3 linked regions of the Drosophila melanogaster genome follow. The protein of the gene in region 1 purifies or fractionates together with the protein of each later gene. This does not show direct contact. Each region holds a gene or a part of one and is shown in the gene's direction. Other genes may lie near its edges.

The links.
Region 2: the proteins of Boot (region 1) and Nxf3 purify together in Drosophila melanogaster (affinity purification with western blotting; 2 studies listed by BioGRID, with this or other methods). This does not show direct contact.
Region 3: the proteins of Boot (region 1) and Nxt1 purify together in Drosophila melanogaster (affinity purification with mass spectrometry, with the first as the bait; one study listed by BioGRID). This does not show direct contact.

What each region holds. Positions count from the first base shown.
Region 1 is NT_033778.4:9,090,821-9,097,393, reverse strand, and holds Boot (bootlegger), read left to right. Parts: upstream 1-2,735; 5' UTR 2,736-2,862; coding exon 2,863-2,902; intron 2,903-2,966; coding exon 2,967-3,934; intron 3,935-4,090; coding exon 4,091-4,186; 3' UTR 4,187-4,888; downstream 4,889-6,573. Other genes in the region: Ctu1 (cytosolic thiouridylase subunit 1), read left to right, coding at 1-83; Nadk2 (NAD kinase 2, mitochondrial), read left to right, coding at 5,625-5,664, 5,741-5,987, 6,343-6,573.
Region 2 is NT_037436.4:13,961,993-13,971,209, forward strand, and holds the start of Nxf3 (nuclear export factor 3), read left to right. Parts: upstream 1-3,210; 5' UTR 3,211-3,353; coding exon of another isoform or gene 3,354-3,400; intron 3,401-3,531; coding exon of another isoform or gene 3,532-3,638; 5' UTR 3,639-4,655; coding exon 4,656-6,503; 3' UTR 6,504-6,654; coding exon of another isoform or gene 6,655-6,710; intron 6,711-6,768; coding exon of another isoform or gene 6,769-9,108; intron 9,109-9,169; coding exon of another isoform or gene 9,170-9,217. Other genes in the region: Meics (meiotic central spindle), read right to left, coding at 781-2,021, 2,127-2,637; ssp2 (short spindle 2), read left to right, coding at 3,354-3,400, 3,532-3,638, 6,655-6,710, 6,769-9,108, 9,170-9,217.
Region 3 is NT_033778.4:23,808,482-23,813,584, reverse strand, and holds Nxt1 (NTF2-related export protein 1), read left to right. Parts: upstream 1-1,610; 5' UTR 1,611-1,637; coding exon 1,638-1,646; intron 1,647-1,703; coding exon 1,704-1,790; intron 1,791-1,847; coding exon of another isoform or gene 1,848-1,860; coding exon 1,861-2,166; 3' UTR 2,167-2,258; downstream 2,259-5,103. Other genes in the region: pippin, read left to right, coding at 80-1,159; CG5543 (uncharacterized protein), read right to left, coding at 2,259-4,226; Ssrp (structure specific recognition protein), read left to right, coding at 4,722-4,775, 4,853-5,103.

The sequences.
Region 1 (6,573 bases):
CGAAGGGCGAGCGAATGATTGCCAAGCAGAACCAGGAACTAGCATTGCGGGAGCGAGCAAACTTAGTAAAAAACGATTTTTAAGAACACATATGAATTTTATTTATTCGTGATTCCACAAGATACAAATTGTGTTCATCCAAGGTTGCCAACCTGAAAAGATAACAACAGGAACGATAAGTTTGGTTTCGCAGGCTAATTTCATTAATACTAGAATGCATTATGAAGCTCAGTGCCAAGTTTTTAACCAGGGCCCATAACCAGTCAAACAAGACGCTCTATCTCCAAAAGAATATTGAAGAAGATTGCCAGCGCTTGACCTTTATATGGTGTCTGTGAATGGTTTAAGTGATCATCATTGAAATCTTCATTTCCGCTAAACAGAATCTCTTTTCGTACTAACCTTTTTAGATATTGGAATTTATAAATGAACCATTGACGGATTCATTTTGCTACGCATGTTTCACATCTGTAAAAAAAAAAAAAAAATCAAAAACAATACAAATAAGTAGTTATTCAAATATAACTCAATCGTTTAAGCGATTTTAAAATGATCAGTTAATTATATTAGAAAAATTTGAATCACAACGGTTCATTAGAGATGTCAGAAATTTTAAAAGCATCATTTACATATTATTTCGTTCTAGAGTATAATTTACCTTTTCAAAGGAGAGATCCTTGTTTGGGCATATGACGCGACAATCAAAGGTGGTTTTCTTGAACACTGCAAAATGACAAAAATTAAATGGTTATAAAGAGCAGCAACCGATTTTCTAAAAAACTTATAAAACACAAAAATAATAAAATGAAGGGGTTTCAGTAAAAACTCGTATAGCTTCATAACATTTTTCAGTCGAAAGATGGTGTAAGTTTCATTCATCACAACACAATTAATTGTCCAATTTACACATAAAATTTAAACTAAATTTTTTTATTATCTTAAACCGAATTATTACCTTTTTCACTGTGTTAGTGAGCCACGTTTGATACATGATATTGACGTTGCAATGAACTGAAATTAAAATATATTTGTGTTATTCAAATGTAACAATCTTTTTAACAGGTTTTTTTAAAGCGTTTAAAATTCAGTGAAAACTAGTATAGCATCAAAATGATTTTCAGTCGAAAGATGATGATAGGGTCATTCATCACGAAATTTTAAGTAGTTTTCATAAATGAAGAGAATAATTACCATTTCACGCTGATAACCTCATTTATATTCCGAATCCAAATCGAAAGACCGATCTGCAAGTAATAGATGAGTTCTCATAAGTCACGGCCACAAGTAAAAATTATATTTAGTTGAGAGTCGAATGTGTCAGAATTAGTTATAACTGATTTGAATCACAACGGTTCATAAGAGATGTCAGAAAATAGAATTATAAATCATCAGATAACTGAGAAGGGCTAATTTGGGATTTGGAACGAATTCTTACCGTCTGTCTCTCTCCAACTCTGCCAGAAAACACGTGTTGAGCATAAGAGGCCATTTTGTTTCTGAAAATGGAATGCTGGGTTAGCCATATTCGCAAATACTAAACTTAGCTAGTTAAGAGGGTTTAAACTGTCAGCTTCACGAAAATAATATGCACCGCAAACTCGGGTTTTTTAAATTTGGGTTATGCTTGGGCAAAGCACGTTTTTCTGCGAGCAAGTAAAAAGCACTAGCTAAAGTAGTAGTTTCTTTACACCAGCGACTCATGCTCGCATGAAAATATTAATATTATTTAACAAAAATATAAATAAATACAATGATGAAACTTACCAATTCACAAATGCCAGCGCTTTAACGCAGCGCCTAGTAATCACAGATTCACCTGCAATATAAGCAAACGCATCGTTTAGCTAACGTTCTTTTTTAATTTTTAATTTGTTGAGACTGCAATGGAATCTCGACCACGTGACTGCAATTTGAATTGCAATCGGTGAAGTGCATTTCCCTGCGCATCACAAATTAATCTTGCAACATTGAGTTCTGCAAACAAGCCAGTAGAACTCGATTTGCAGTTATAATCGCTGCACTCACCGGTCGCCTATCATATCTATAATACTTACATTTTTATATATATTTTTTTAATCGTTTCCAATGCGGTGATGTTCGCTCCACGTTCTTTAAAAAAGTGAAGAGAAGCCAGTGAAGTTGGCGGCGATTGGTGGTGCAGTGTGCACGCTGCTTGTACTTTCAAGAATACTGAAACGCCTAACGCCTGCGTTTGTGGTCTGTTTTCAAGGTGGCGCACTGTTATGAAAAACTGATTTACCAAAACAAGTTCGCATTGAACGATTTAAGTAAATACATACAAGTTATTGCCCCATATTAAACTTAAGTCAATACTTGATTTAATTTAATAAAGAAGAAAATAAACAAAGAAAAAGAATTCACACAAATAAAACACTAATAATATTTTATGTTTAATAAACTTTAAATAAAATGAATAGATCTTAGACAAATACTACCCGACTAGAAAATACTCTTACTCAGCTAGTGGATATGCGAACACGAAAATTTATCATGATAGATACTGCTAAATAAAATGAGAAAAAATTAAAAATTGTTCATAAGTGTGTTTTGAGCGTTTTGTAATTATAAGGAGGGGTGTGGCAAAGGTGCTCGACTTGGCTATTGATCCTGATCAAGAATATGCTTTTGTATACTATTTTACACTACGAGTAACGGGTGTAAAAACTCAAAAGCTGACCAGTGCAAAGAAGTTTTACTTCGATTTATCCGGGTGGTAATATTCGATTGCAGCACTTGCAGCTCTACAAACGCGGTGGTTCTAACTGTTTTTCTTGCGGACCAGACTGACGCGGCGCCAAGCTTTTTTTGTTTCTATATTTTAGGCTTAATTGCGAGTGCACGATGACGGATTTCAATGCATCCGGAGTCATTCTGTCTTTGGGTACGTAAAAATGTCTGCTCAATTTGTGATCGTCCTTAAAATATTCGTTTTTTTTATCTGACAGATGAGTACTTCGAGCAATGCGTAGTACCAAAACCCAGAATACCACCACGATACTCGAGTAATGCAGCCCCCAAGGGCGATAATCGCCAGCTGGGGCACTTGCAAACCTACAAGGACCAGGATCAGGGTGGCGATACCGATGTTGAAGTTGAAGATTTCCAGGGTTCCGTGCTAGCAAATGGCCAATCAATTCTAACCGAGTTCGATTCCAATGTTTCGCAAATCAACTTTGAGATTAATGACTTTGATAAGGTGTACTGCGAGACGGAGTCTCAAAGCTCGGAGGCCTCACAAGGCTCAGCCACGTGGCGCATGAATGGTAACAACGTCAACCGGCCATCAGCGGCGGCTCAACTGGGGCTCAGTGACCAGGCACGTGGTCACGTTAAGTCGCGCCTTGATCTGAGAGAAGGCTCTCGATTTCGTAATAATTTTAACAAGAGACGCAATCGTCAGTATAATCACCATGAACGGAATGAATTCCATCGTCATCAGCACCAGCCCCAGATTGCCAAGAAGGAGGTCCTGCGCTACGCCTACAATGCCTTCAGCAGTCAAGAAATCCATTCAAATCAACAAACTGACCTTGACATTGATGTAAATAAACATTTCCAGTATACTCACCAGGCACCCACTGATCCGCGTAGCAGCCGCAACTACATGGGACCTGACCACTACGACTGGACCGGCTCCACCTCGATCGGCTCTTTAATCGATTCGGTGTCCCACATTCCGGATAATCGTGTCAAGAACCATTTGCCTTGTGAAACCATCACGCGTTACACGGACAACTCGATGAATGTGTTTGCTGGAGAAGCGCAGGATATTAATAAGCCGCAGACTGACCTGAAACCCGCAGCAGTTGATTCCGAGAGCATGAAAATCAGTAAAATGGCCCACAACGTGATGCTCTTGCTCAAGAGCGTTGCCCAGCAAAACAACCAAGGAGACTCGTGTGACATCTTCAAGGTAATATTCGAAATCATGTGTAATCTAATACCACACAATAGAGATTTGAAAGAAAGCCTTACAAACTGCACGTGTAAGAAAAAAGGCATTAAGCTTCAAGAAATGATTCATATTAACTTTGTATTTTTAAATAAGTTTACGGTTTTCTTATTTAAGAACATCGACTGGATAAACGGACCGATGGAGGAGTCCCGAAGTGTCGCATTGCCTGAACGTGAAGGAGGAAGGGACCAACTGCAACGTTTTAACTAGAAAACCGACATCAAGTTGCATTTAAGGGATCTATCTGACTTCTGTTATTTCTAAGTACTCAGCAGCCCATGTTTAAATTAAGTTCGCCGGATTGGCGGGCACTTTCTGTGCGAATTGCGAGTCGACGCAGGCAAGAAGAAGACGATTTCGACGATGCCCAGTGAATGGCAGGGGTGAATAGTCGCTTTCTGCCTCTTTTTTTTATATATATAACACATATTTCGGCTGATAAGAACAGGCTGGGCCTCTTATCAGTAATGCACAACAAGAAGTACACACGGACGAACGAGATGTGAGAAGCGAAAGCGGACGAAAATAGAAACAAACGGCGATAAATTTACAGCGAAGGCGATTTTATATACATACATAACTGATGTGCCGGAGACGAACAGAGTAATAATCAGTTAATCTGCCAAGCACCCAGAGAGCGGACGTGAAAATGATCATCGGGATCGGATAGCGGGATAGTTAGTAGTGATCGTAACTTAGGATAGTGTGCTAAACACTAACCTCAACCTATGTTTTGTGCTTTGTCGAGTGTAGAACGAACACGCAGTTATTTTGTTGTTTGTGCAAAAGCATTCGAAAGTGGCCAACTGAAGAAAGAGCCATCGATTCTTTGCATTTGGTTACTTTTATAGCGTAGTCTTTTTCCCAAACGATTTTCTTAACGAATACGAAATAAACTGAACACAGTACCCTAAATGTGCGTTGTTCGTCTTCGGTAGTGCCAAGCATGTTGAAGTCGAAGCAGTTGCTCCAACAGTTTTCCAAAGGTAAGGATGTGTGGGTTTCCGGAGCCGAAATGGCACAACTTGAGGTGTTTTACACACCCTAGCTATCTGTGTTTTCGTTGCCGCCTCCATTATCAGCCTTAGGCATGTGCTGGAGTAAACTAATACCATATCACCAGATCCGTAGGCTCGCCTTGACAGCCTTAATCGCATCTGACGCCGACCAAGCCGAAGATTATCAGTAAACACTTTTTCGCCAAATTCTTTGTCACGATGAACTTTCCCCACGCACACTGGCTGACAAAATTATTCGCTCAGAAAGTGGATATTATCTTAAATATCCTTTTTGGTTTCCGGATTAACTTAACTTAACCAACTTTTCAACAAGTATTGAACGCAGATCTCAAAGTGTGTGTCACTAAACTTTGTTATGCTATAATTATATTGATTATAAACAAACAAATTTTACATACTGGATAGCTTGATTTTACTTATCTTTAATAATGGTATTTAAAGCTCACTGCAGTATGTCAAACCATTAGGAAAATCTACGAAAAACATGATTGGTACAAACCAAATACATAACATTGTTTCATTAAAAGTTTTAGAGGGAAAATACTTTCCACTTGCACTGTGTTGTTTATCAGCTGTTCCGGGAAATTTCCATTAAAACCTAGTAGTTACACATCGATTTCGGCCGTAGGATGCTTCAAAACGGCAGGAAGATTATTCCCGAGGGTTTGAGTAAATTTCCCGTGACGAGGACCCACATTTGATCGGACTAACGAGGTCTTTCGCTTGCAATTGCCATTTTGAACAGAGTACGCTAAATATACGCCGACCAACTTCAAGCTAAAGCGGGCCCTGGTCGTCACCAAGCTGTCCCGCTATGAGTTCGAGCAGCTACGCCACCCGGAACTGTCTCCGGATCAGCTCCAGCAAAAGCTCCGTGACCGGGGCACCGACGTGGAGATGGTCCTCCATCTGCACAAGGTGCACAAGGACTTCGAGCGGCGGGTCGTGCAGAGCTTCCAGGACGTCGGCTGCGAGGTGAAGTTGTCCAGCAGGTGCGTACCCATGTAGTCCTCCAATTCAGTGATCGGAGTGCAGCTCAAAGCAACGGAGGCCATAGGTACATGTACTCAAGTAAATGAGTAAATGTACTCAAGCCATGGAAATGATTTCATTGCTTTGAATGAGATTAGTTCTATGAGGACATGTACCCAGACATCCACACCTTTAGGCCTCCAATCACTGCCACCAATGTTGTGTTGCGTGCCTCGTCACTTCGTCACATACTATACCTATATGTATCTTCGATTTGTGACTACTACCCGCTACAATTGATCTCCACCATCTTCACACACTTCGTGTCTCCCATGCGGCACCTCACCCTGTGTGTTGACTTTACTAAACGAGCAGACTTGAATTTAGAAGCTCGTTGAGCAAGGACGTCATGAGCTGGGCGGACGTCATCGTGCCGGTGGGCGGCGATGGCACTTTCCTTCTCTCCGCCGGACGCGCCAGTCCGCTCTTCGCGCTCAGCCAGCAGAAGACGCCGATCGTGGGCTTCAACTCGGATCCGCTTCACTCGGAGGGCCGACTCATGCTGCCCAAGCACTACTCGGATAATCCGGCCGACGCCGTTTCCCG
Region 2 (9,217 bases), on another chromosome or scaffold:
TATTGTACTTAATTGTTATTTGTATACGGGAAGCATTGCCCTTCTTCTGTTCGTAGTGAAATCTATCTAATTACGCTTTATTAATTTTAAACACTTACCGCATATTCGATATGATTATTGTACCTATTGTAATTACTGTAATGAAACCGTACTCGTACCTATGTTTAAACACAAATCGTCTCTATTCTCTCTTTATTTAGTTTATCCTTAATTGATTTTAAATTCCGATATGGACCCCACAACTAATTCGAATCGAGAGATAAATGTTTTTAAGGCATGCGGTGTTACTTGTTGGGTCCGTTTTGGTCAAAACTGTTAACTGATAATCAAAAAAAAAAAAAAAAACAAGGAAACATATCGCACCTTTATGTTGGCGGCTTAAAAAGCCCCCATATCTCGGGAGAAACTGTTGCGATTCATCAAAATCAAAAATAAAATCAAAATCAAAATCAAAATCTGTACGTAAGCAAATATTATGTGTAAGCAAGGCATTTATGTTATAGCAAATAGAAATATTCATCAGCTGGCAATCGGAAGGGCGCAGGATTAGTTGGAAACTGTGCAACAGACAAAACTTGCCTTAATGAACGGACAATGAAATTTTAGATTGTTTAAATAACATAACTTACCAATAAACTTACGATTATACCACAACAATGATTTTTGGTAACATCAGATTGTTCAAATTTAATGATTTCCTTACACGAAGTCTGTAGTTATATCTACTTAACACTTATTATAACTAATGGTCTTATGCTGGGGCTACAGGATAATCTTATATTATTTCTTTAGGTTGTGAAGTCGCAAGTGCTTTTTTAAGCTCTTCTGGGAGAAAAATCCCTCTGGACATTGCGGGCATGGGTGGGGTCGAATCTTGTGGCTTGTGATATGCTTATCCAGGGTCTTTTTTAAAGCAAACCTGACGTCGCAGTGCGGGCATTGGTGCAGCGTTTTTGGCTCATCCGGGTTTTTGTGCGTCTTCTCGTGACCCCGTAAGCTCTGCTGAGTGTCATAGGCTTTGGGACACTGAGAACATTTAAATGGCCGATCATTATTGTCCACGTGCCAAAGGGTATGCTTCATCAGTGACTGATTCGCACTGAAACCCTTGCCGCACTGGTCGCACTTGTAGGGCTTTTCGCCTGTATGGATGCGTAGATGACTCTTAAGGTGATGGTTGTGGGAAAAGGCTTGGCCGCACTCCTCACATTTAAATGGCTTTATACCCGAATGGGTTCGCTGATGTTTCATCATGTTCGATTTCTCGAAGAACGACTTGTCGCAGTCGGGGCACTTGAACTGGCGATCCCCGTTGTGGACCCGCAAATGGGTAATCAAATGCTGGTTCTGTACGAATCCCTTGCCGCAGAGCTCACATTTAAAGGGTCGCTCTTCCTTGTGCAGACGGCTATGCAACTTAAGGCCAGAGTTTTTGGCAAAGGTTTGTGGGCAGTCGGGACACTTATAGGGTCGTTCGCCAGTGTGCCTCTGTATATGGGCCCTAAGATTGCCTCTCGTGTAAAAGGTTTTGTCGCACTGTGGACATTTGTGACCCTTTTCCTCGTCGTGGGTGTGCATATGCGACTTCAGAGTCGGACCGTGCGTATAAGCTTTCGGGCAGAGGGGGCATTTAAAAGGACGCTCTCCAGTATGACGGCGTCTATGGGTCGTTAGCTGGGCATTGGTACGAAATCCCCGACCGCAGAAATCGCAGAGGTGCGGCTTTTGTGTATCACCTTGCTCCTTGTGCTTGGCAACGTGCCTTGCCAACGCCTTTTGAGTCGAGTAACTCACTCCACACTCTGTGCACAGAAGCGATTGATTATTGCCGCCAACCGTTTGGCGCCCTCCGCCGCCGGGAATCCAGGGTTCATCTTGGTCTTCAGTCGAGCCCACTGTCCATTGGTCTGAATCCTCCCTTTCGCTATCAGTATTGTTATTATCATTTTCTTCATCAAAGGCATCTTCAAATGTCTCCTGAATGGATACTTCATCTTCCGTTTTAATATCGTTCATTGTTACTAAAAAATAAATTTAAATTTTAGCATATAACGGGCAAGTCTAGAATAGATTTTAGCAGTACAATGGAAGTTCTTGTGAAAGTGGATGACATCGAATAGACCTACTTTCAAAAACTTCTTGCAATGGTTCACTCTCCTGACCATTAGTTGCCTTTCCATCGGTTGGCTCATCGATATCAGTTTTTACATCAGGCCGATTAGCGTCCAATTTGGTTACATTTGTGTCCAATGGATCCTCGCAACCAACTATCTCGAAGGGTATTAATGGGTTCATAGTACCTCTTCTGCAATGGGATCTACTCAGATTTGAGTTTGATTTATCGAGCTGGAGGAGCTGGGAAAAGAACTGAAAACTCTGCTCACACTTGTGACGGAAGTGAAAGGCATTTTGAGCGGCCACCAGGCAGGTAGGACAGATCTTTTGTGGCATTTCATCCCGTTTCACGCGACAGATCTCCGGCAGAATTGAGTTCAACATTTCCCAAATGGGGGGATCAGAGATCTCCTTGGAGAAAAGGTCCACCAGTATGGATGAGTGTTCGGCGCAGGCTCGGCAGTTCTTTCCCATGCTGGCGTCCACTGATCTTTCCATTTTTCCCGATGATCTCCCAACCATAGAGGCCGGAATTTCAAAAGAATCAACAAATGTTGGGCACTTGCTCTCCTGCCAAGTAGTCAATGTGAACGTATTCGCACAGAGTTGTCAGCTGCATCCGATGATTACTCGATAGTCGATAAGGTTTCATATGCCATCTCCATTAACGTCGTGAGGTTAACTGTGACTGGGAACAAATCTGCGGCATTCAAAACAATGGTGTCGATAGGTAGGATTCCAATCATATTTAAATCAAAATGTATGTAAATCTATATTAAAGGCATTAACAATGAAAATAAGAATATTAGAGATAATTTTAATTTTAATAAATAATTTACAAATCAAGTAAAGTTACAAATCAGTCTGTATTATAAAAACGTTTAATTAACATATAATCTTTAACAAGCGTGCATGCAATGATTTAGGTATTAAAGGTTATCATTTTAATATTTATCTTCATATTTAAGTTGAAATTTGCTAACTTTGCCAACAGCTGCAATAATTACTTTCACTTTCGCTTTCACAGTCACAAGATTGACTCATCGGCTTAAAAATACCAGTGACTCGCCACGGAATCGCGGATATCGCTCATCTCTATCAGCTTTGAGCAAAATTAGTATCTTGTATTGGCCAAACAGACAAGCGAGCGAAGGCCTTTTTGTTGTCGTTTCTGGCAATGATTTAGGTCTTCATCAAGTGTTATTAAGCTAGGCATAAAGTTTTACCCATCGCTGGACATGGATATCCTGGACATCGATGAGGCACTAAAGGATGATTCATATATGTGAGTGAAACCACTCCTGTTGTTTTTGTTCCTGTTGTTGTTGCTGCTGCAGCTGCTGCTACTGCTGCTGGCACTTCACAGGCAGAGGCATCGATGCTATAAATACTCATATGCCTGGTACTCCTTGGCAGATTTCTGGCGGATAAGACCCACGACGATGTCTCCAACATATTGCAGCAGTGGAAGACGAACAATCAGCCGCCGTTGCAGCAATTGCACTTGCAGTACAACAACGAGGGTAAGCCTTTTCCACACATACCGATGCACCCGATCACAAACATACACACATGTGCAGCACATCATGCAGTTGCGCTTTCTAAATCAAATTTGGGTTAAACTGGCGGCTACGTTGACAAAGTTCAAGTCGCATGTGGGCAGCATTACTTGGCCAGTAGTTACCGTTGTCTTTCAAAGTGGCCGATTGCCATAATTGGCAACAGCGCCAATGTTATTGTTACGGTAATTAATCAAGTCTCAATACGCACACACACACACGCGTTCCCATTGCAAACAGCTGTGCGTGGTACGGCAATAATATTGAAGGAAAAAAACTGGCTATGCTAATATGGCAAGAATCTCGCATTATACGCAAACATTATTATATAAATCCAATTTACTTCCTGCCCAGCCAGCGAAAGTCAATCAAGCAATACGCAAATAAACTATTTGCGTACAATTAAATAAACAATTACCACCGAACTAAAGACGAGGATCAAAAATCGATTAGGCGATTTAATTTGAGTGAAATATTGTCATGCTGAGCTATTTTTAATGATTTTCCAAAGTGGAATGCCAGAATTCCAAATATTGCTAAAAATATAAGTTAAATAAAACTATTTACAACAAAGTTCATACTTAATAGTCATTCCTGTAAATGTATGCAATGGTTAAACTCAGCATAGATAAATATTTTAAATAGCTTAAATAATATATACAAAATATTCTTTTAAGCGATAACAATAGTAGAAGTGGAAGTAAGAAAATTACGTTAACAAACAACAATTACTTATAATTATATATGAAAGCTTCAGGGCGTTTATCCAGTAAGTTAAAAAATAGCTAAATGCTAACTTAACGGTAAAATATCAAATAGTGTGCTGAACACATCGCTTTTGCGAAGCGTCCTTTGGATCTTTACTAACACTAAAAAAATTGTAAACTCCCGGAGATTGCTAGTAGTGTGCACGGAATTTAATTACTGGGTTTATTTCCTCAAAAGATTTTGTAATTTTACTAGTTTCCTGAAAACTTTGCGATGCAAATATTTGCCACTTTCAAATCCCACGAGCCGGACAGCCGCTTGATCCAAAACTTCAAAAAGCACGTGAATTCGCAGTCGCCACTTGACGATTTGCGAAAAAATCTAAATGAAAAAAGTAAAATTCGAGAATATGTACAAGAGCTGATTGGAAATGAGCAACAAATGGGATCCGTGCTGGACACGATCTCTTCCACCGAAGAGGACCACCGCGTGGCCACTGTGACCGGATGGTCCACGGTGAACATCGCCAACTGCGCCGGCGTTTCCAATTCTTCAATTTTTGTGGCACTGAAGTGGGTGATGATGCCCATTAAGGTGGAGATATTCAACTTCAAGCGAAGTGGACCGGAAGATAATATGGCACGTGGACAATTTCTGTTGGACAACCTGTTAAGCGCAAATCGCCTAAAACGCTTGCAAGAGGAAGTAGCAGTTATTAACACGTGCCAGAAAATCGAGGTGCGTGTCACACCCGGTCTGCCCAAATCGATGATGTGTGCCCAGATAACAGACGAATTTACAACTGCCATTCAGGAGGCCCTTAGATCACGCTATGAGGTGGATTCACGCACCTTAGATCTCTCCAGGTTCCACGCCAGTCCGGAGTTGTCTCTGCACTTTTGTCCGCTGCATATGGTCAAGCTGCTAGAAACAGTGCTAGTTCTTTCAAACCATTTATTTCCCCATGTGACCAGCCTAGTACTGAGCAACAATTATTTGTGTTCCCTGAAAGCGTTTGCGGGAAATTCCCAAAGTTTTGCCAGCCTAGAGCGGTTGGACATAAGCGCAAACAGGATTCAAGATTTGGGAGAACTCAATTACATCAACAAACTGAGTTGCAAGACGATCTTCTTGGCAGGAAACGGTTTGGCCAAGCTAAGCGTGGACGTCATTCGAAAAATGCTACCACAGTTGAAAAATGTTCATGGCTGTGTGCAGTTGGGGGAAAGTACAGAAGCTGTTGATAATATTCCGAAGTCTCAACAACTTCAAGGCGGTGGGACTAATGGTTTAAAGTTTTGCCAGGACTTCATAAGTTCATACTACACTTTCTTTGACGATACCGAAGAGCGTTTCAAACTTAAGAAGTATTACGACGACCAAGCCATGTTCTCGCTTAGCGTGCCGGTACAACTAAATTATGTCTACGGCTACAAGCTGTACAACAGAAACCAGAAGCGCCAGCATTCCTCGTTTGCACAAAACGCCAAGCTGCAAGTGGGTAGAGCTGCGCTACTTCTCGCTTTAAGCCGCTTGCCTTTGATGCATACAGACTTAGAGAATGTCGGGCTAGACATCCAGGTGTTCACTTCGAGTCTACGCATCTTTACGTTGACGGGATACTTTAAGGAGATATCATCGGATACTCTGGAACCACGACGCTTTCAGCGCACATTCGTATTGCAGACTTCCAATAGCCCCGGCTGGTTGATAACCAACGACATGCTGTGCATAACTTCGACTATGCCGGACCCGAAAAAAACCATTAAATTTAAACCAGAAACTAATATGATAAATACCGACCCGTCGGTAGAAAAAATAAATAAACCTGCAGTGACAGTTTTAGACAGAAAGTCTAAAGAGGATGTCCAAATTTCTAGACCCCTATCAGGAAAAGAGCTGAATCCTCTTAATAAGGCAGTGCAGAAAATGAGCCTTTCCCAGGTGGACCATCTTCCCAGTGAGAACTTCAACGATATGCCACCATTAGTAGCCATTGGTCCATTGACTACCGGGCAAAATTGTTTGGACTATGAAATGGAGGATATTTTAGTGGCCGATGAGAATAACTTTGACTTGGACATTGATGATGACATCCTGTTTGGATGCGATGACCTTTAAATATGAACAAAAAAAATTAAACAATTCAAACAAATAGCTTTTAGAAACCTTGCACCTATCGGTTAAGACACCATACATTACTATTCATTACTTTAACGAGTGCAGAACTCAAGGATCTAATTTATTTTTAAACTTTTATATTTTACGAAAGCCTTCAAAAACAATTCGAAAACCTTTACTCGCCCAAAGCGTCGGAATCTGGATTTCGTAAGTACAAATAAGCAATTGCAACTAATTTGTATATTAAAGTATCTTATTTTTTCAGAGCCAAAATGGAGCGGGAAATGACAGCGGTGTTGGAACCGGGTCGGTCGCGGGTGCCCCAGCAATGCTTCAGCTGGAAATTGGCGGTCTTGTCACGACGAATATGCACAAATCCTTCCTGCAAGACACCTCACCGCCGTCTTCCATCTGCTCCTCCATGAACACTGAACGGATGAACAACTCGCTAATCACCTCAGCAGACTTTACGAACTTGAACTTCCTTCAATCCACAATTGGTCTTGAGCAGGATCCAAACCTTACCACTACGCTTACCAACCAGACAACTGATAACATGGGAATCGGCGGCAGCATAGGCGGATATACGCTCAGTGACATGATCCGGGATCGCAAGGCGCTGGAGTCGCTGACCATGTGTGAGGACGATGGGACTCTTATCAAAGACTCGCACATCGGGCAAATTGACGAAATATCGTTGACACTGAGCAAAACTGCTTCCGGCTGCAGCACAATGGACAACAGCACAGACAGTATGTCCATTCCCCTGGCCGCAGATCGAACGATGCCCGTTGTGGTATCGGCAGTTTGTCCTGCCCTACAGCGTACCATGATTTTAGGGGAGGAGATGATCGGCGACACAACTTTTAACCTCGTGGATAGCCTTACAACTTCTGCGCTGCAATCAGAGTCTGAGTCTCTGCCAGTCGATGGAAATGCGACATTCAAAAGACCCACTGCGAGTGCTACTACAGCGGACGAAACCCAGGTGCTAACAGGTAGGCAGATGAATACTACCTTCACCGACGGTTGCAACACTCCTGAGGGCCGCTGTGAAACGCCTGAAAATATTGACAGGAAGCTGGCCTTGCTCACCATGGAATCCTCCACACCACTTACAACAAACATGCGCTCACACTGCTACCACAATAACAACAATAATAACAAGGCAGGATATACCCCTACCCTAAAGGGAAGGGGAGATATGAACCTGTCCCCAATTGTTGGCGCAACACCGCAAAAACCAACTGGAACCGCACCAGGGCGATTAAACAACACCTTTGAGCCCGTGGCAAAAACAGCTCCGTTCAACGGCGAGAAGTTCGTGCTGGACACTATGGAGCTCTTGGAGCAGATCGAACAGCCGCTGGATGGCACTTACAACCTGCAAATGTCTGAACAGCACAGGCAGATGCAATGCGTCATGGACTTGGCTGAGGCGGAAGTGGAGATGCTGGCCCAGCAGGGCGACGAAGAGCAATTCGAGAATATGCTTGCCGAGCTGGGCAAGGTGAATACCCTAAACGAGGAGCAACTGAAGATGCAAAAGTCGCTAGATACCATCAAACGGCGCTTCCATAGAGATGAGGCGGAGGCAGAGGAGCGTGAAGAGGAATTGCAGCAGTCGGCAGCCGAAAAGGTGGACACCCCAGTTCTAAATCAGAGCCACTCCAGCAGCAACAGCAGCGGCGGTGGTGGCGAACGGCTGCTCAGTCGCCGAAGTCGTCTCTACGACGATGTCAACCTTAGTGCAATGCACGGCAGTAATGGAAGTTCGACCAGCACCAACTCTGCCTCATTCATCGTCCAGCGTAGAGATATGCCACAAGTGGAGCAGCCTGCACCAGATCCTGATCCCGAACCAGCGGAAGAGCCTCCAAAGTCCCAGGTGACAGCAGAGATTGATCCGGCAAGCTATAAGCTGCCGGAGCGAAGAGAGCGGGATCGCGATCGCTTCAAGACCATTAAGATTTCGAAAGAAATGCGACTGCAGCCGGAAATTATTGTGCCTTGTATAGACGATGAACCACAGCAACTCGAGGACGAGCAAAAGCAATTAGTAGAAGATGTTCGGTACGAGGAGGATCAGCGACAGGGTTCACCACCGGGTCGACTTTCTCGTCGAGATCAGACCACAGCAATTAGCAACAACGCAGATGCTAGTGCGAGTAACTATCTGACCTACAAAAAACCCAAGGAAAAGAGCCTTATCCAACGACGTCCGCAGCAGCAGGAAGCGCCTTTATTAGCCGAGCCAGCGCCTGCGTCGACTCTTCCCCAGCCGCGTTCCTTGTCCAGGCCTCGCTACATCAGTGGTCTTCAGAAGTTTACTACGGTGAGCAAGGCAACTTCAGCCGGAGCGGGACTAAACGCCACTCCAGCCGCTGCTATGCCGACTACTGTTACAGTGCCGGCCAACGGTAACGGGGAGCTGAAGAGCCCTATGGGTATTAAATCCAAATCTTTCCACAACTTGTCCTCCACAATGAGCGGCGTTGGCTCTGGAGCCCTGCCAAGACCTAGTTTGGGCGGTGGACTGCGGCGTCCCAGTGCGCAGCCGAGCAAGCTTATGAGCGGATTGCGTGGACCAACTCAAGCCCAAGAGGTTCGTTTCGAAACTATTTTTCTTATCGACCTGTTTAATTCTCATATTTTTGACTTTTCAGGATGACTCCGCTGTATTTAAAGTACCGAAATTGGTGAGTGGGCTGCGT
Region 3 (5,103 bases), about 15 Mb from region 1:
GGATTAGGATTAATGTAGACTTACTATATAAACTTACTATTTTGGCCTTCATTCATTATTTTATTTTACCTTCTCGAAGGTGTACATTGCGGAAACGGCGGAACCCAATCTGCGGAGTCTGCTGATCGGCGCGCCCTATGTGGCCTACTCAAGCGGCATCCTAATGGTCTACTCCCTGGGCTCCATGATGTACTGGCGTAGTGTTGCGTGGTGCGCCAACGTGCTGCCCCTGCTGTCCATGGTGTCTATCTCGTTTATACCGGAGACTCCGGCCTGGCTACTCCGCAATGGCCACGAGAAGCGTGCGCTGCAGGCCCTCTCGTTCCTGCGGGGCAGCGAGATCAGTGCGCAGAAGGAGCTGAATGATATGAAGCAGAGGCTGGCCAAGGAGCGGGTGACCACCAAGACGAACGAGAACATCTTCCAGCTGTGCTGCCAGCGCGTGGCCATCAAGCCGCTGGTCATTGTGATCGTGTTCTCGCTGCTGCAGATGTTCTCCGGCACGTTCATCGTGATCTTCTATGCCGTGGACATGATCTCGGAGTTCGGAGCGGAGTTCGACTCCAAGCAGGCGGCCATTGCGACGGCAGTTGTCCGGGTGATCTGCTGCATGGTCTTCTGCGTAGTCCTGATCTTCGTTCGCCGCCGCAGGATCATGATAGTGTCGGGAATCGGCTCCGGCTTGTTCTGCCTGGTGCTCAGTGTCTATCAGTATGCCAGATTCGATCAACCGAAAATGTCGTACGACGTATTCGTTGGTGCCGGCTGTCTCTTGGGCTACATCATCTTCAACACGGCTCTGATGGTGATGCCCGGCATTATGATCGGCGAGCTCTTCCCGGCTAGGATACGCGGACGGACTGCCGGCGGAGTGTTTGCCTCCATGAACGTCGCTCTGTTCATCTTCGCGAAGAAGTTTCCCGCTTTGCAGGCCATGCTCAAGATGCGCGGCGTGTTCCTGGTCTTCGGCGTGTCCAGTTTCCTGCTCACTGCCTTTATGTGCCTTTTCCAGCCGGAGACGAAGGGCCGCAGCCTGGAGCACATCGAGGACTATTTCAACGGGGACAACTGGCTCTGGTTCCGGCGGGATCGAGGCTACAAGACGGTCAACCTGCAGCCCCTGGAGCCATTGAAGGACACCCGGGGGCTGGAGGCCTAGGTCGGGGGGCTTTAGTCTTAAAACAGGTCTTAGCTTAGCTAGTTTTAGCCATACTCATAGTTCTAGCCGCAGTGCCTCGTAGTCGCCCTAGACTCGCTCGATTTTCCAGTGACCCCCAATGGGCCACTCCGACAGGGAATCTTCAAATGTTAGGTTACCAATTCAAATTGTGATCGCTATGCTTTAAATTGTGTCTAATTGTTAATTAAAATTATGATTAGAAATAAACAACTTGAAAAATAAAAGTCATCATTTGTTTTTCGGGCAATTTGCAGAAAATGTTTGCAATAAACTTGTTTTTAAGTGTTTGAACATCTTGACTTTTTTAAACTTTAAATAAATATTAAGGGTACTCACGTAGATTAGTAGCGTTTTTGTATTTCAAATGGTGGTAGTAATATTTTTGTTTCTTTCTTTCTGGAGAGTTTTTTTCTGACCACCCGAGGACGGTCACTCTAATTCGAGAATCGCGGGAAACATGGACAGCGTGAGTTGAAAATATTTAGTTTTTTAGCAATTTAGCATAGCAACTATTTGTTTAAAGGATTTGAAAGCCAAGGTCGAGAGCTGCGCCCGTACGGCGGATACCTTCACACGCCTGTACTACGCCTCCGTGGACAACCGACGCCAAGTAAGTAGAGATCCGCCTTGAAAGTCTGCATTTCATGGGAAAACGAAACTCAAATAGATTCCACCTGCAGCAAATTGGACGCCTCTATTTGGACAATGCTACGCTTAGCTGGAATGGAAACGGGGCCATCGGCCGCCAGATGATCGAGAGCTACTTTCAGGAGCTGCCATCCTCAAACCACCAGTTGAACACCCTGGACGCGCAGCCTATTGTGGATCAGGCTGTGTCCAACCAGCTGGCCTACCTCATCATGGCCAGCGGCTCCGTCAAGTTCGCAGATCAGCAGTTACGCAAATTTCAGCAGACTTTCATCGTTACCGCCGAGAATGATAAATGGAAGGTCGTCTCCGATTGCTACCGAATGCAGGAGGTCTGAGATCCACACACTTGTATTTTAAGCTAAGCTAAAGTTCTTACGTCGTAACGAGTTTATTAACATATCTAAGCTCTTATAAATAGATTGACTTCCTATTTGTCCGCCTCTGTCTTGGGCTTCTTGGTGGCCGGCTCGTCGGCGGGTAGTTTTTCGGAGAAGATGGCCTTTGGCTGCGTCTGCTTGTAGGCCGGTGCTATCCAGTAAGGATTCTCGGCTGCGTCCTTGGCATACTTCAAGATGGCTTCCCTGGGATCCTGGTCGTCGTCCACCCGCTTGCTCAGGCCCAGATTGCGGATGACATAGGAGGAGAGGGTGCCGCCGGAGCTGGCCACGCGGCCGCCCTGACCGCTGGTGATGGGCAAGTCCGGTCGCTGGGACTTGACAGGATCCATACGGGCCTTCTCCATCCGCTTACGCGAGGTACGGGACTTTTCCTGCCTGAACAATGGCAGGGCGTGCGGCGTAATGATCTGGGAGACTCCCACCATCTCCATGGGCTGCCTCTTGCGATGCGTCTTCACTACGCACAGCTTGGCGCCCCGGATGCTGCGGTGCTCATCGTAATAGCACTTAATGGTTCCATTGCCACAGCTCACGAACAGTTGGTTGAGCTTTGGGTGCCACAGCGTTTTCACCACGTGCGCGTTGGACACGGGAATCCGCTGCACTTCCTCGTAGCTCTTAGTGCTGTAGAAATACAGGTTCGCTTCGGCCTGGCCCTTCGGAAGCGATTCTCCGGTGACTAGCAGACGGTCATCTGGACTAAAGCAGCAATCTGTTGTGTCGTAGCGGGAGAACAGGTTTGTCCAGGTATGCAGCGGCTGTTTGAACTGCCGCAGATCCCAAAGCTTCATGGTCTCGTCGTTGCTGCGAGTGGCCAACTGCTGACCCATGTACGAGAACACAATGGAGGTGATCTCCGAACCCTTCTGATGCGCATCCCTGACGCAGTGCGTGGTGTTCACAAACATCTTGCGCGTGTCCCACGTCTGAATGGAACCATCCACGCAGCCCGCTGCTATGAGTGTGGCGTCCCTGTTAAAGTTGCATGATGCTGCGTTGGTGCGGAGGCCTCCCTGCGCCCTTGTCTTGATCACCTGCAACTGTTCCTTGGACTTCAATCCCTGCCAGATGCGCAGAGTACCGTCGAGAGCTGCGGTCAGGAACTGCTCCCTGTTAAATGGATGCCAGCAGCCGGAGGTCAACTGTGCCACGTGGCCCTTGGTGCGCGACATGTCCGAGATATACTGGTCGCCCTTGCAGCACTCCAGTTTCTCGAATCCATCGCGGTCGAGGACCTTGGCCTGGGCGTTTCCGGAGATGACCAGGATCATGTCGCCGGTCACGGAGTACTGGAGAGAACGTATGGGATGGTTCTCGCACGGCTGCAGTTGCCGGAAGCTACGCATGCTCGAGTCCATGCCGGCGAAATCCCAGAAGCACATATCGTAGTCTATGGAACCAGAGACCAAGCGGGCACCCGAGGGATCGCCAGCCAGGGCAAGGACAGCGCGGGAACCGTGCTGCATCTGCACCTCGTGTGTGTAGGGTATGCGCTTAGCAAGGCTTTGTTCGTCATCTGAATCTTCATCGGACGAATAATCATCGTCATCGGAGTCTTCGTCTTTGGACGATTCCTTCGTGGCTTTCTCCTTGTCTGTGGTCACAGCTGGTGGTAGGGGACCTATTACGTCCTCCTCTTCCTCGTCTTTCTGGTCATCCTCCTTCGGCTTGGACTCCTCCCTTTTTTTGTCCATTCCCGGGCGGGTAACTCTCGCCTTTTCTATCTGCTCGTTGATGTCGAACACCTTGGCCGCCTTGCGACCAAAGCCACTGATGCCCATCACTTCCTTGAGGTGCTGGCTCTCCAGATCTTCGGCCACGTCCTCGATCTGCCGAATCATCTGCTCCTTGTCCATTTTCTTGAATCCTCCGCCATTTCCGCTGGCTTCAGTGGACTCCTTTGCATCTTCCGCCTCGGTTTCGTTGGATCTTGGCTCCGCAGGAGGTACGTTTACATTCAGTTTGATTTTCCCGAAGGAAATTTTACCGCGTTGCATAGTTTTAAGGCCCCACGCTAAGTGGATTTTCAAATTTTTAATTAAAACTATATTTCTCTGAAAATATGCGGTAAATATTTTGTAAACAAGTGAATTAAGTGACCGTTTATATTCGGACTGTCAATTTGGTATTTTAAAAGATCGAGCGAATTGTTATGGTCTTTAAATAAGCTCTGGCTTGCCCATTAAAATTTTTCAATTTAATAATGACTCATATATTGTTCATGTATTGCAAACAAGATATATATAAACAATAAAGGAAACTGCATTGGAATATTAAGAGTTTATATCGATTGCAATTTAAGAATAGTGCACTCAAAAATACTAAACACACATACGGTCACTCTAATATAGCTGACTGGCGTCTAACCTAAAATTAGGCGCGCAGTGTTGTTTTGTGTCTGCCGGAATTATTGTAAATTGGTGACAATTTCGCAAGGCGGCGTAATACATAGTTGATCTATTATCTTGTTACTGGAGAGGAAGAAGTGCAGGATGACAGACTCTCTGGAGTACAACGACATAAACGCCGAAGTGCGCGGAGTCTTGGTGAGTCGCAAAAAAGCCGGCGTATTTTGTCACATTTCGCATGACCGAGGTTTTCCATTTCCCTGCGCGCAAAAAAGTGTTCCGGACGCCTAAAGATGACCGAGCAGAACATCATCTTCAAGAACACCAAGACCGGCAAGGTGGAGCAGATCTCGGCAGAGGACATAGACCTGATCAATTCGCAGAAGTTCGTGGGCACCTGGGGACTGAGGGTGTTCACCAAAGGCGGCGTGCTCCACCGCTTCACCGGATTCCGCGACAGCGAGCACGAGAAGCTGGGCAAGTTTATCAAGGCTGCCTACTCGCAGGAGATGGTCGAGAAGGAGAT